Nothobranchius furzeri: one gene and its partners. The protein of the gene in region 3 interacts with the protein of the main gene of each other region in a biochemical or structural test. Links are inferred from orthologs where the notes say so. Each region holds a gene or a part of one and is shown on either strand. Other genes may lie near its edges. The genes, in order: kcna4, adrb1 and disks large homolog 4.

Evidence for each region.
Region 1: the proteins of disks large homolog 4 (region 3) and kcna4 form a complex in vitro, tested with the Homo sapiens proteins (8 studies listed by BioGRID and IntAct, with this or other methods). The link is inferred for Nothobranchius furzeri from reciprocal best matches to the Homo sapiens genes DLG4 and KCNA4.
Region 2: the proteins of disks large homolog 4 (region 3) and adrb1 form a complex in vitro, tested with the Homo sapiens proteins (2 studies listed by BioGRID and IntAct, with this or other methods). The link is inferred for Nothobranchius furzeri from reciprocal best matches to the Homo sapiens genes DLG4 and ADRB1.

Annotation. Positions count from the first base shown.
Region 1 is NC_091749.1:47,038,550-47,042,300, forward strand, and holds kcna4 (potassium voltage-gated channel subfamily A member 1), read right to left. Parts: upstream 2,489-3,751; 5' UTR 2,301-2,488; coding exon 231-2,300; 3' UTR 84-230; downstream 1-83. UniProt on the Homo sapiens protein: Voltage-gated potassium channel that mediates transmembrane potassium transport in excitable membranes. Forms tetrameric potassium-selective channels through which potassium ions pass in accordance with their electrochemical gradient.
Region 2 is NC_091756.1:38,265,826-38,269,576, forward strand, and holds adrb1 (beta-1 adrenergic receptor), read right to left. Parts: upstream 2,682-3,751; 5' UTR 1,974-2,681; coding exon 606-1,973; 3' UTR 150-605; downstream 1-149. UniProt on the Homo sapiens protein: Beta-adrenergic receptors mediate the catecholamine-induced activation of adenylate cyclase through the action of G proteins. This receptor binds epinephrine and norepinephrine with approximately equal affinity.
Region 3 is NC_091750.1:46,519,665-46,523,315, reverse strand, and holds part of disks large homolog 4, read right to left. Parts: intron 2,709-3,651; coding exon 2,596-2,708; intron 2,486-2,595; coding exon 2,394-2,485; intron 354-2,393; coding exon 247-353; 3' UTR 1-246. UniProt on the Homo sapiens protein: Postsynaptic scaffolding protein that plays a critical role in synaptogenesis and synaptic plasticity by providing a platform for the postsynaptic clustering of crucial synaptic proteins.

The DNA of each region.
Region 1 (3,751 bases), on a different chromosome or scaffold from region 3:
TGTCAAGAGAAAACTTTTGAGCTTGCCAATTAGTTTCGTGTTTATGTGTGAGTGTATGTGTGTGCGTAAATCTGTGTGTGTCTGTGTGCACTCTGACGCGTGCGTAAAGCCTGTGTTTGGGGAGGGTTGGGGAGGGGATTCCGCTGCTGTTGAGCAGAAAGTGTCTCTACAAGATGCTTTTCTTCTTTGGAAAACAAAACAATACCACTAATAATAATAAACTACTGTAATCACACGTCAGTCTGAATGGATTTAGAGTTAGTACTGTTTTTCCTGCTTATGTCTGTGCCGTTTCCTTTACTGGGGCTCTTGTCCAGCCCGCACAGCGACTCCGTCACCCCTTCCTCCATCTCCATGTACTCCGCTTTGTCACCCAGCGATGAGCCAGAGGGTGAACCTTTGAATTTTCTTAGAAAGTCAGGGAAATAAGGGCATCCCGGGGGCATGCTCTCCACCACGGCGGGCGGCTGGTCGTCGTTATCCGTCTCTCGGTGGTAAAAGTAGTTAAAATTGGACACTATGACAGGCACCGGCAGCGCGATGGTTAACACGCCCGCGATCGCGCACAGCGAACCAACTATCTTCCCACCAACAGTGATGGGCTTCATGTCACCGTAGCCAACCGTCGTCATGGTAACCACGGCCCACCAGAACGCGTCGGGGATGCTCGTGAACTGAGAGGTGGGTTCGTCCGCCTCAGCGAAGTACACCGCGCTGGAGAACAGGATTACGCCGATGACCAGGAAGAAGATGAGCAGAGCCAGCTCCCTCATGCTGGCGCGCAGCGTGTGACCCAGGATCTGCAGCCCCTTGGAGTGTCTGGACAGCTTGAAGATGCGGAACACCCGAACCAGGCGGATTATTCTCAGGATGGCGAAGCTCATGGTGTGCTGCCCGTTGCCCTGGTGCTGCGCCAGATCCGTGCCAAGAGTTATGAAGTAAGGCAAAATGGATACAATGTCTATCGTGTTCATAATGTTTTTAAAGAAAGCTGTTTTGCTCGGACTTGCAAAGAAGCGCACTATAATCTCAAAGGAGAACCAGATGATGCAGACCGTCTCCACGATGAAGAACGGGTCGTTGAAGGGTGTGAAGCCGTGGTCCGGCTGAGAAGAGTTGTGTCGTGGCTGCAGGTACTCTTTTTCATCCCTGAACTCTGGCAGCGTCTCCAGGCAGAAAATGACAATAGAGATGACGATGACCAGGACGGACACCACCGCGATGCCCCGGGCAGGACTCGAGCTCTCCGGATACTCGAACAGCAGCCAGATCTGGCGCTTGAACTCGTCCTCCGGCAGAGGCTTTTCCTCCTCTTTCACAAAACCCTCATCTTCCCGAAACTTGAGGATCGCCTCCTCGCCGAGTTCGTAAAACTTCACCTCCTCTGAGAAGATGTCAAACGGCACGTTCACGGGTCTTTTTAAGCGCCCCCCTGACTGGTAGTAGTACAGGATGGCATCGAAGCTCGGCCGGTTTCGATCGAAGAAGTATTCGTTCCTCAGCGGGTCGAAGTACCTGATGCGCTTGTCGGGGTCTCCCAGCAAGGTGTCTGGGAACTGAGTGAGAGTCTTGAGCTGAGTTTCAAACTTCAGCCCCGACACGTTGATGACCACCCGCTCGCAGCAGCCGCACTCGCTGTAAACGTTCTCGTAGCCGGACTGAGGGCGCCGGTCGGTGATCGACACCGTCTCCTCATCATCCATGTTGCACAGAAAACTCGACCTTTTGCTGCCTCGAACCCCCTCTGCCGCCTCCCCTTCTTCCTCCTCCTCTTCCTCCGCTCCCTCGGCCTCCTCCTCCTCCTCCTCTATCATGATGTCCTCCTCGGATCCGAGCAGCGCCAGCTCCGAGTGGCGCAGGTCCCCGCCGAGAGTGCTCCGGTTGCGCCTCCACCGTCCGACGCCGCGCTGCTTTTTCCGCTCTCTGAGAACTCTGTGCTGCTGCTCGGGTTCCTGCTGATGCTGGGAGGAGGAGGAGGAGGGGCGCGAGGCGGCGCTGCTGCTGATGTTCGCGGAGGAGGAGGCGGCGCGAGACTGATGCTGGCGATTGTTAAGGAGATGAGCGCTCGAGGAGGCGGTGGAGGTGGACCCCCCTACACCACCGCCTCCACCACCTCCTCCTCCTCCTCCTCCTCCCTCCGCACCAGAGCATCCTTCGGCCGCGGCCGCTGCAGCCGCCGCTCGCGACTGGGCAGCCTGGCGCTCCCTCTCGCGCTCCCTTTCCCGTGCGCGAGCTTGGGCATATCCGTAAGGCAGGTGACTGTTGCACCCTCCGTCCGCACCCACCATCGCAAATTCCATTTTCAGTCGATCAGCGGCGCAGTAAGCGCCACGACAAGGTGTGGATGCAGAGCAGGGGAGAAAAGTTGCAGTTCGGCGCGCGCAGAGACGCGAGGGCACGAGGCATCAACCGTTCCCGGGAATAAGAGAAAGTGAGAACAACAAACACTCCTCAGAAAGGTCCATATTGGGTAGCTTCTTACATGATAGAAGATAATGGTCGTGGCTCGAGCACCCAAGATTTTATGACATCATTAGAAGCAAAATATAAACATAAGGATAATACAAATCCAAGGGCCAGTGGCATAGCCTGTTACGCAGACGCTCTGTCAAACTTGCAGCGCCGCTTTATGTGTTCATAAATCACCGAGTCAACAAGCGACACCAAAACAGTCTCTCCTCCGTTTCTCTGGTGGCCATCAGGTGGCTCATTCCCCCACGACCGAGGGTTTGCGCTCAAACGCGTCCTTTAATCCTCCGTGGTCACCCGTGGTTGCCATTTTATGAGGTGAGATCTATATTTGTGTTTCATTTGGATGGATCTCCGCTTTATTCTGGAGCTCCGATGAATCCGAATGACTTTTCCTCTCAGAAGCTGCGAGAAAAGGAGAGGATAGGATTTAGACAACAACACGAGAGAAAGGGACGTGTTAATATTAATGATCGCTGTGCATATTACGAAACTTCACACGCTTATTATTATTATTATTATTATTATTATTATTATTATTATTATTATTATTATTATTAATATTAATGCTTGGACGGCATTAACAAAACACGTTTCGCACGAAATCCTCTCACTAAGCACCATTATTTCATCCTGACATCCATACTTACATCCGTAAAGGGCCAAAAGAGCCTCAGCCCTCCTAAAAACACATTTGTTGGAAGATGATGAGGAGGCGAGGATACAGATTTTCTTCTGCGCTCAAACCTTCGTCTTGATTGTGAGGCGTGATAATCACAAATCCGTCTCCGTCTCCAACGGGCGACCATATCCACATCCAGCATATGCATCCGTGCTCTGACGCACTCTGAGGAGGGCACTTTTTCCGGCTGCGTGCATGTCGACGTGTTGTCTCAATTCAACAGGATCTGTTGGCACTTGAGCCTCAATTTCTGCGGCACCGCTTCTGGGGAATCAGGTGTTCACGCAGCGAGTTGGCATCTACGATGGCTCCACGCGACCGCGAGCAGAAGAAAACGAGGGTGGGTAAAAGTTTACCTTGGTTCGGGCGGAAAGGAACGGCCTCAGTCTGAGCATCACACATCTGTCTGTCTGCCGCTTTAGCTCTACCTATCTCCTGTATCCCTCCCATTGTGTGTGTGTGTGTGTGTGTGTGTGTGTGTGTGTGTGTGTGTGTGTGTGTGTGTGTGTGTGTGTGTGTGTGTGTGTGTGTGTCGTGTACTGCAGCGCGCAGGCGGCGCTCGGTCCTCCCCCAGTGGACGCAGCCGGTACTGCGTACCTG
Region 2 (3,751 bases), on a different chromosome or scaffold from region 3:
CACAGACGTCAAAGCACCACCTTAAAACAGCTGGTAAAGCCGGAGACAGACAGAGGCTCGAGATTCCTCATTCCACACCACAAAATGCGCAATTATTGACCCCTCACTTGGTTATGTTGTAAAAGAACGCACCGAATAAATAAAAACACTTATTTTACATTATGTTTAATATAAACAAGTACCTGCCGTATAAATTGCACCGGCCTGTGAGGTAATTAAGAGCTTATTGGCATCCACGTTATGCGCGTTTTGGAGCGCCTCAGAGATCATTTTAGGAACACATTGTTTCCCATTATGAACAAAGGTATCAGCAAAACGTGATTCTTTTAATATTATAGCCACCTGGTCGACAGATCTGGAGTAAAAAGTCGCATCTGCAGTAATAAATCACCTTAAGGCTCGTGCGCTTTTGTGGAAAAAGCGCTTTGTGTTCTGTGAGCGCAAACCTTCGATTTTGGATTTATCGCATCGATGAATTAAGACCAAGATCTTTAACTGATTGTACAGACAACTCCACTTACAGCGAATGGTTTGGATTTTACGCGCATCCTTTCCTGTTTGTATATATTTTTAACTCTCCATCTGGATGGTTTTATTTATTTTCTTCACAGTTGTGATTCTGAGTGGGACAGTTTCGCTGTCCCCAACAGGCTGCTGTCGCTGTTGTCCAGGACGGCGCAGTCCGACCACATCTCCAAGGTCCCGGGCTCCAGCGCGGACACGAACCCGCCGGAACAGCGGGACAGGTCGCAGGAGCTGATGTGCAGCCTGCGGTCGGCTTGTCTCGGGCAGCACAGCAGCCTCTTGAAAGCCTTCCTGAAGTCCGGACTCCGGCAGTAGATGATTGGGTTAAAGGCCGAGTTCACGTACCCCAACCAGTTCAGGAACACGAAGAGGTTCTTGTCCACCACCTCTGCGCTGAACACCCGCACCACGTTGACTATGAAGAAGGGCAGCCAGCACAGAGTGAAAGTCCCCATGATGATGCCCAGCGTCTTGAGCGCCTTCTGCTCCCTCAGCGCCAGGATCTTGGACGGCCTCTTCTTGCACTTGGAGGTGAGTCCAGTCAGGGTGTTGTGAAACCTGCCCTCGCACTTGTCGATCTTCCTCAGCTGCTGCTTGGCCTCTCTGTACACCCGTGCGTAAACGAAGATCATGACCAGGAGAGGAATGTAAAAAGATATGATGGATGAGGAGATGGCGTACGCCCGGTTGGTGACAAAGTCGCAGCACTCCGGGTTCTCGTAGCAGGCTGTGTCCACGTTGTCGCGGGACCAGTGCATCAGGATGGGCAGGAAGGAGACCAGCGCAGAGATGGCCCACACCACGCACACCACCGCCTTTGCGCGAGCCTTGGTTAACAAGCTCTGGTAGCGGAAAGGTGAGGTGATGGCCACATACCTGTCTATGGCGATGACGCACAGGGTCTCGATGCTGGCGGTGACGCACAGCACGTCCACGGAGATCCAGAACTCACAGAAAAAGGAGCCGTAGAGCCAGGAGCCGCGCACCTCAAGCGCGGCGCCAAATGGCACCACCAGCAGCCCCATGATGAGGTCCGCGCTCGCCAGCGACACGATGAACACGTTGGTGAGCGTCTGCAGCCTCTGCGTCTTGGCTATGGCCACGATCACGAGGATATTCCCGAACACGATGGACACGACGATCAGACCCATCACCAGGCTCATCCCCGCCATCCACTGCTCCGACGCAGGTGAAGCGGAGCCCGGCGCCTCGCTCCCCGTGCCATTGTGGAGGTTCACCGGTGAGAACGCACCACCGTTCCCCATGACGGGCTGCTGCTCTGTGAGCTGGACCAGCTCGGTCTCATCCAGGCAGCGCTGTGCGGCGTTCACGCAGCTCTCATCCCATCGCGCGCCGACTCCACGGAGTGTTTTAGCTTCTCTCTCTGGATCTGCGCTCGAAACCGCGCCGGCCTGGACAGCGAGGTAGGCGGTGACATCACCGCTCATCACGGCCAATCAGAAAGTCCAGGGGACCCGCGGTCCCAGCGGTGAGGATCAGGAAACAAGCTGCACCTGAGAAAAGCAGACTTCCAGTCTTATTTTGCATGCACTGGACAGTTACTGAACATTCGCGATATTCTGATGAGAAATTGACCCATGAATTTCTTATCCTGCAAAACCCCACACTGTGGGAAAACGGTGCACCAAATATGGGAAACATCACAATGGTCCAGAGGGAATTCCCTCCTGTCACCACTTGCTATCACGTCCAGAACTTGTTTTTCTCCTTATATTTTTATCTCTGAGAATACATTCCTTAAACATGAGACTTGACCCAACACAGACCTGCAGACTGGCCTCACAGCTGCATAAAGAAGCGTTTGGCTCACAACCAGATTTTATTAAATGCATCAATGTAAAGACTCACCACTGTCCCACTTGAGTTTGTTTTAAATAAACTGGTCACTCTGCACCTGCTCAGCTGTTTAATTAATGTTAATGAGAGAATATGTGAACTACCTGGATCCGTCCTGTCTTGTATCATTGCTGCAGCGTGGTACAATGGTGTGGGGGAGATGTTCTTGTCCCACTCTGGACCCCCAGTGCCACCTGAGCCTGGTTTAAACACCACAGACTACCATGTCCATCCATGACCACGTGGACCCTAACCCATGCTACACTTTCAGCAGGATAAAGCACCATGTCACGAAGATCATCTGGTTTCATGACCATGAGTTCACTGGACTCCAACCATGTCCACAGTCAGATCTCAGTCCAGAACATGTGGGATGTGGTGGAACAGGAGACTCCCATCATGCAGCTGTGTGATGCTGTCATGTCAATATGGACCATAACCTTTGAGCTCTGAGTGATTGTACACCTTAGTCCACATCAGATGTGTAAATTTCCACCGGCCTCATGACAAACAGTCTGCACAAAAATGGAAAACAACAAAACTTTGTTTGTTTTTATGTGGACGATTTACGCTCCCGCCCATGAACCCAGCGACCCCACAGCTGAGGCTGCAACACAACCCGACCCAACACAACGAAGAGAAGTCAACATTCCCCCTTGACCTTTATGAGCAGCAGGATGCTTTTATTTTTTTCTTTTTTGACCTTGAAGTGTGGAGGCTGAAGCAAAGCCTTTTGATTATGATGTTTTTCCCTGCTGGCTTTTTGGTGGAACAATTAAGCGTCACACATTTGGAACCAGTAAAGGGTTAAGTCATTTCCTGTTCTCAGTGTTTTCCCTTCATTTGCACCATTAGAGGCAGAAACTTCTGATGAAGCAGAGAAAATAACCCAAGAACGGTACTCATGCATCACCGAGAGGAATATTAAATATTTCTCTTTGTGATGAAGTTGTTATGCATGGGTAACACCAACTTCTGATTCTGGAAAAACATTTAAACACACAGTTTTTACATACATGTGAGCTGAGCACAGAATAAATTAAGCTTAGAATGAAGTAATAACAGCTCTATTCTTGACTGTTTGAAATATTATGTAGTCAGCTGAAAGATTTTTAAGTGAAACACCCTAAAAATATTTCAATCTTATGTTTTGTTTTCTCAAATGATTCTGGTGTTTGTGACGGAGTCAGAGAAAAGGGCTGAAAGTTCCTTCAACATATTGTTAATTTTTCCTTGAATAAATGCAAAGAGCCACATTTTACGTTTATTATGTTAATGTATTTAGCAGACGCTTTTATCCAAAGCGACTTACAGTTTATAACCTATAGGGCATGTTGTGATCTGTGGGGGAAACCGGACCCGGAGGAAA
Region 3 (3,651 bases):
TCTGTCTCTTTCAGTTTAATTACACATCAGTGTGTTTACACGAGTCATAAAGTCTCTGTTTCCTTCATTTATTGTTTTTGGTATCCTTCTTTGTCTCACTGGGTCACTTCCTGTTTTTGTCTCTGTGTCATTTGCAGCCTAAGCGCCGACTTCGCTGGAGGACTTCGCAGGCGGGCGAGGCTGGCTCGGCCTTGAGGGTGGAGGGGGGAGGAGAGGAGAGTGAGGGGAGGTCGGCCGGGTGCAGCATCACAGCCTCTCCCGGGTGGGGATCCAGATGTAAGGCCCCGATTGCTCCTCAATCACTGTCTTTACTTTATGATAAACTTCCTCAAAGCTGTCCCCGTCCACGACAGCTGCAGCAGGAAATGAGAAAAGAGAAGAAAATCATCAAAGAGCGAGCAGCGACAGAAGGAAGGAGGCAGAAAAATGATAAGATTAAAGGATGCCTTTGGTAGACAACTTAGGGAGCAACTTTTTAGAAAAATGATTCAAAAAAATCTTTTTACAAATGTTTCCACACATTTTGAAACTTGTTTACTTTTTCAGTGTCTGATACAATGTCACGTACCACAGCAATCTGGCATGTGGTAGAAACCGCAGACAGCACTGGATCTGTCAGAGATCTGCTGCTGGGATGTGCCCTAAATGCATCTCTAAAATATTAAAAATCTCTGAGTTATCCCAGAAGACTCTGGTGGGACTCAAAGCGTTCATCTCATTCAGGGTGGAGGAAGTCATGAATCAGTGGATGAATGAAGCTTGAAGCGTACCTAACAGAAGCGCCGTGAGTGCTAAACGTCTGAGTGCTAACGGTGATTTAAAACAGCAGCTCTGATGTGCATTAGCCAAAGTTTACGTAACCAAAACAGCTTTTGTCTTCCTGTAGAAACGTCTGACCTGAGAGAACACATGAACTCCAAGATCTGGGAGACATTTTGTATAAATTAGTTTTAAATCTGACCAAAACAGCTATTATGATCTTAAACTCTATGAAAGATCATGGGTGACGTGCACATTTACAGAATGTTCTTGCCTAACTTGAATGGTCCACATGAATGCTCTCAGGAAGACGTTTTAAAGTTCTGTGCTTTTTGCATGTTTTTGTTCGTAAATATCCCATGCCTTGGGATTAAAATCTATTAAAGCAACAATTGATAGTGTTTAACACTTTAAACACTTTTGTTTTCAAACTGGTTTCAGTGGTTTTGAGCGAGAACATTCACCAGCTTCACATTGGACAGCACTCTGTCGCCTTCTGCTGACCGGAATCTGCACTTAACAGTTTTGTGGTTGGACAGGAACACTAGTGGGGGGAGGGGGGGGGCTGTCTCTGCTTGCATTAAGCTTGGTTTATGCTTGACGCATTTACTTTCCGCTTGGTGATGCGGCTCGTGGCTGGAACGCGCTTTACAACTCGCAGCGTTTATGGTTCATGCGGCTCATCTCTGCGGTGAGCCAGTATTCTCCCAGACTGAATGGGGCAGCATGGAGCTCTATGGCATGCATCCAACACTACACCATTGTAGAAGTAAAAATTACTGTTTACAACATGGCATTCCAGCATTTTTTAACAGCGTCCTCGTCTTTTCCGACAGTGCGAGCTATTTCTCTCCAAGAATTATTAACAACATGTTGATCACGGTGATCTCTGAGAGCTGAATCATACAAATGTCTGTATTTACGAACCTCTGCCAGTCCGCCATGTTTTTCCGCGTCCGACCGTCCGCGTGGTTAGAAAATTTCCTAGGTGCGCGTTGCGGAAATTTTGGGCCGCGCGGAGCCGTGCGGACCTCGCAGATGCGTCAAGCATAAACCAACCTTTACGGCAATAGCTGTTTACTGTGCTGGTAGCTAGTTTAAAGGCTACCAGTTTGCTTTTGAGAGGGGAAGCAAGGAACTAAACTAGAGTGAACATTGGAAACATAAGAAATCACAGACTGATGGTGACCTAGCTTCTTTGTAAGTAATGATATTTGCTTTGTCAAGCAGTGTAGATCTTTTTCTTTTAAGGCTTATTTAATATCTGTTAGCATTAGCTTGTTGTTCCAACCAGTAAAGGGCGAACTGGAAAACTTATCAAGTTCAACTTTAAACTGTAAAAGTTTGCTAATCTGTAAAAATATGCTGGAAGGATCAGGATTTCTATTAGTAGAAGTTTGTTTTTATACAAATTTTTAACAAAACAGAAGAAAAATGAACAAAACAGTGAATCTATTTTTTATTTTATTTTATTTTTACCAAATCACATCTGGTGTAATCTACCTCCCACTTGTCTTTAGCTTCAGGGCTATTTGGATCTTTAACACTTGAGTGTAAATGTTATGTTCTACGAAATTAAATACAAAAGCCAAATGGGTAAAATAGTCACATCTTTGTGATAACAGCATTCCCACCTGAGAAACACTCTAGGAAGTCTTGCTCTAGTTTGAGGGCTCTGTCCATCGCTTTCCTGGCCTGCTCCTCTGTCAGACGAGTGTTGATTTCTCTGTTAGCACACACACACGCACGCACACACACACACACACACGCACACACACAGTTGTTGCCATAGCACGTTTTTGCTGATGCTGCATTTGAGGAGTTGTGAATACATACAGAACATTCTCCAGCGACTTGGGCCGAACAAAGATGGCGATAGGGTGAAGTTGAGCTGCCTGTAGTCTACGGACAGCGTTAGCAGACACATCCAGGATGCAGTGCTTCCCCTGCTGCTTGTGCACACACACACACACACACACACACACACACACACACACACACACACACACACACACACACACACACACACACACACACACACACACACACACACACACACACACGGTCGTGAGGATTTTTTAGGGGAAAATTGATCATTGGTGTCATAACAAATGAAAGCGCTGTTGGAGGCTAGAGCTGATGTGCTGAATTTTGATATTCAGGTTTAAATAACATCCTTGAGTCTGATCAAATGTGAGTGAAGAAGGTGTTTTTCTATTTCATAACTTCATATATGAATAAAATGTAATAATAATCATTATGTCAGAATGGGTGATTCATGCCTTCATTACATCCCGGCTAGATTACTCCAACTCCTGCTTGTAAGGCATCCGTAAAGCTGCTCGTCCAGACGTCAGCAACAAGGTTTCTGACTGGAGCTGACAGAAGACGGCACATTACACCCAAACCTAAATCACTCCATTGGCTGCCTGTTCAGTTCAGGATCAATTTCAAAATTTTGCTTCTTGTAATTAAATCATTGAACAGTCAGACCGCTCCCTATTTAAGCGAACTCCTCCATTTCTACCACCCTCCTCACGCTCTGCAGATCAGCTCCTCCTCACTGTGGCACGCTTGAAGACCTGTGGGGAAAGGGCTTTTTCCATCTGTGCCCCAAAACTGTGGAACGCACCTCCTCTCCAGGTCAGACAAGTGCCCTCTATTTTATGGGCGACGGTGGCACAGGAGTTAAGTGCTTGCCGTAATCAGAAGGTTGCAGGTTCGAGCCCCGCTCAGTCTTTTGCTGTCGTTGTGTCCTTGGGCAAGGCACCTGACCCACCTTGCCTGCTGGTTGGAGGGACAGTTGGCGTCTGTGTACGGCAGACTTGCCTCTGTCAGTGTGCCTCAGGGCAGCTGTGGCTACAATGTAGCTCATCACCACCAGCGTGTTAA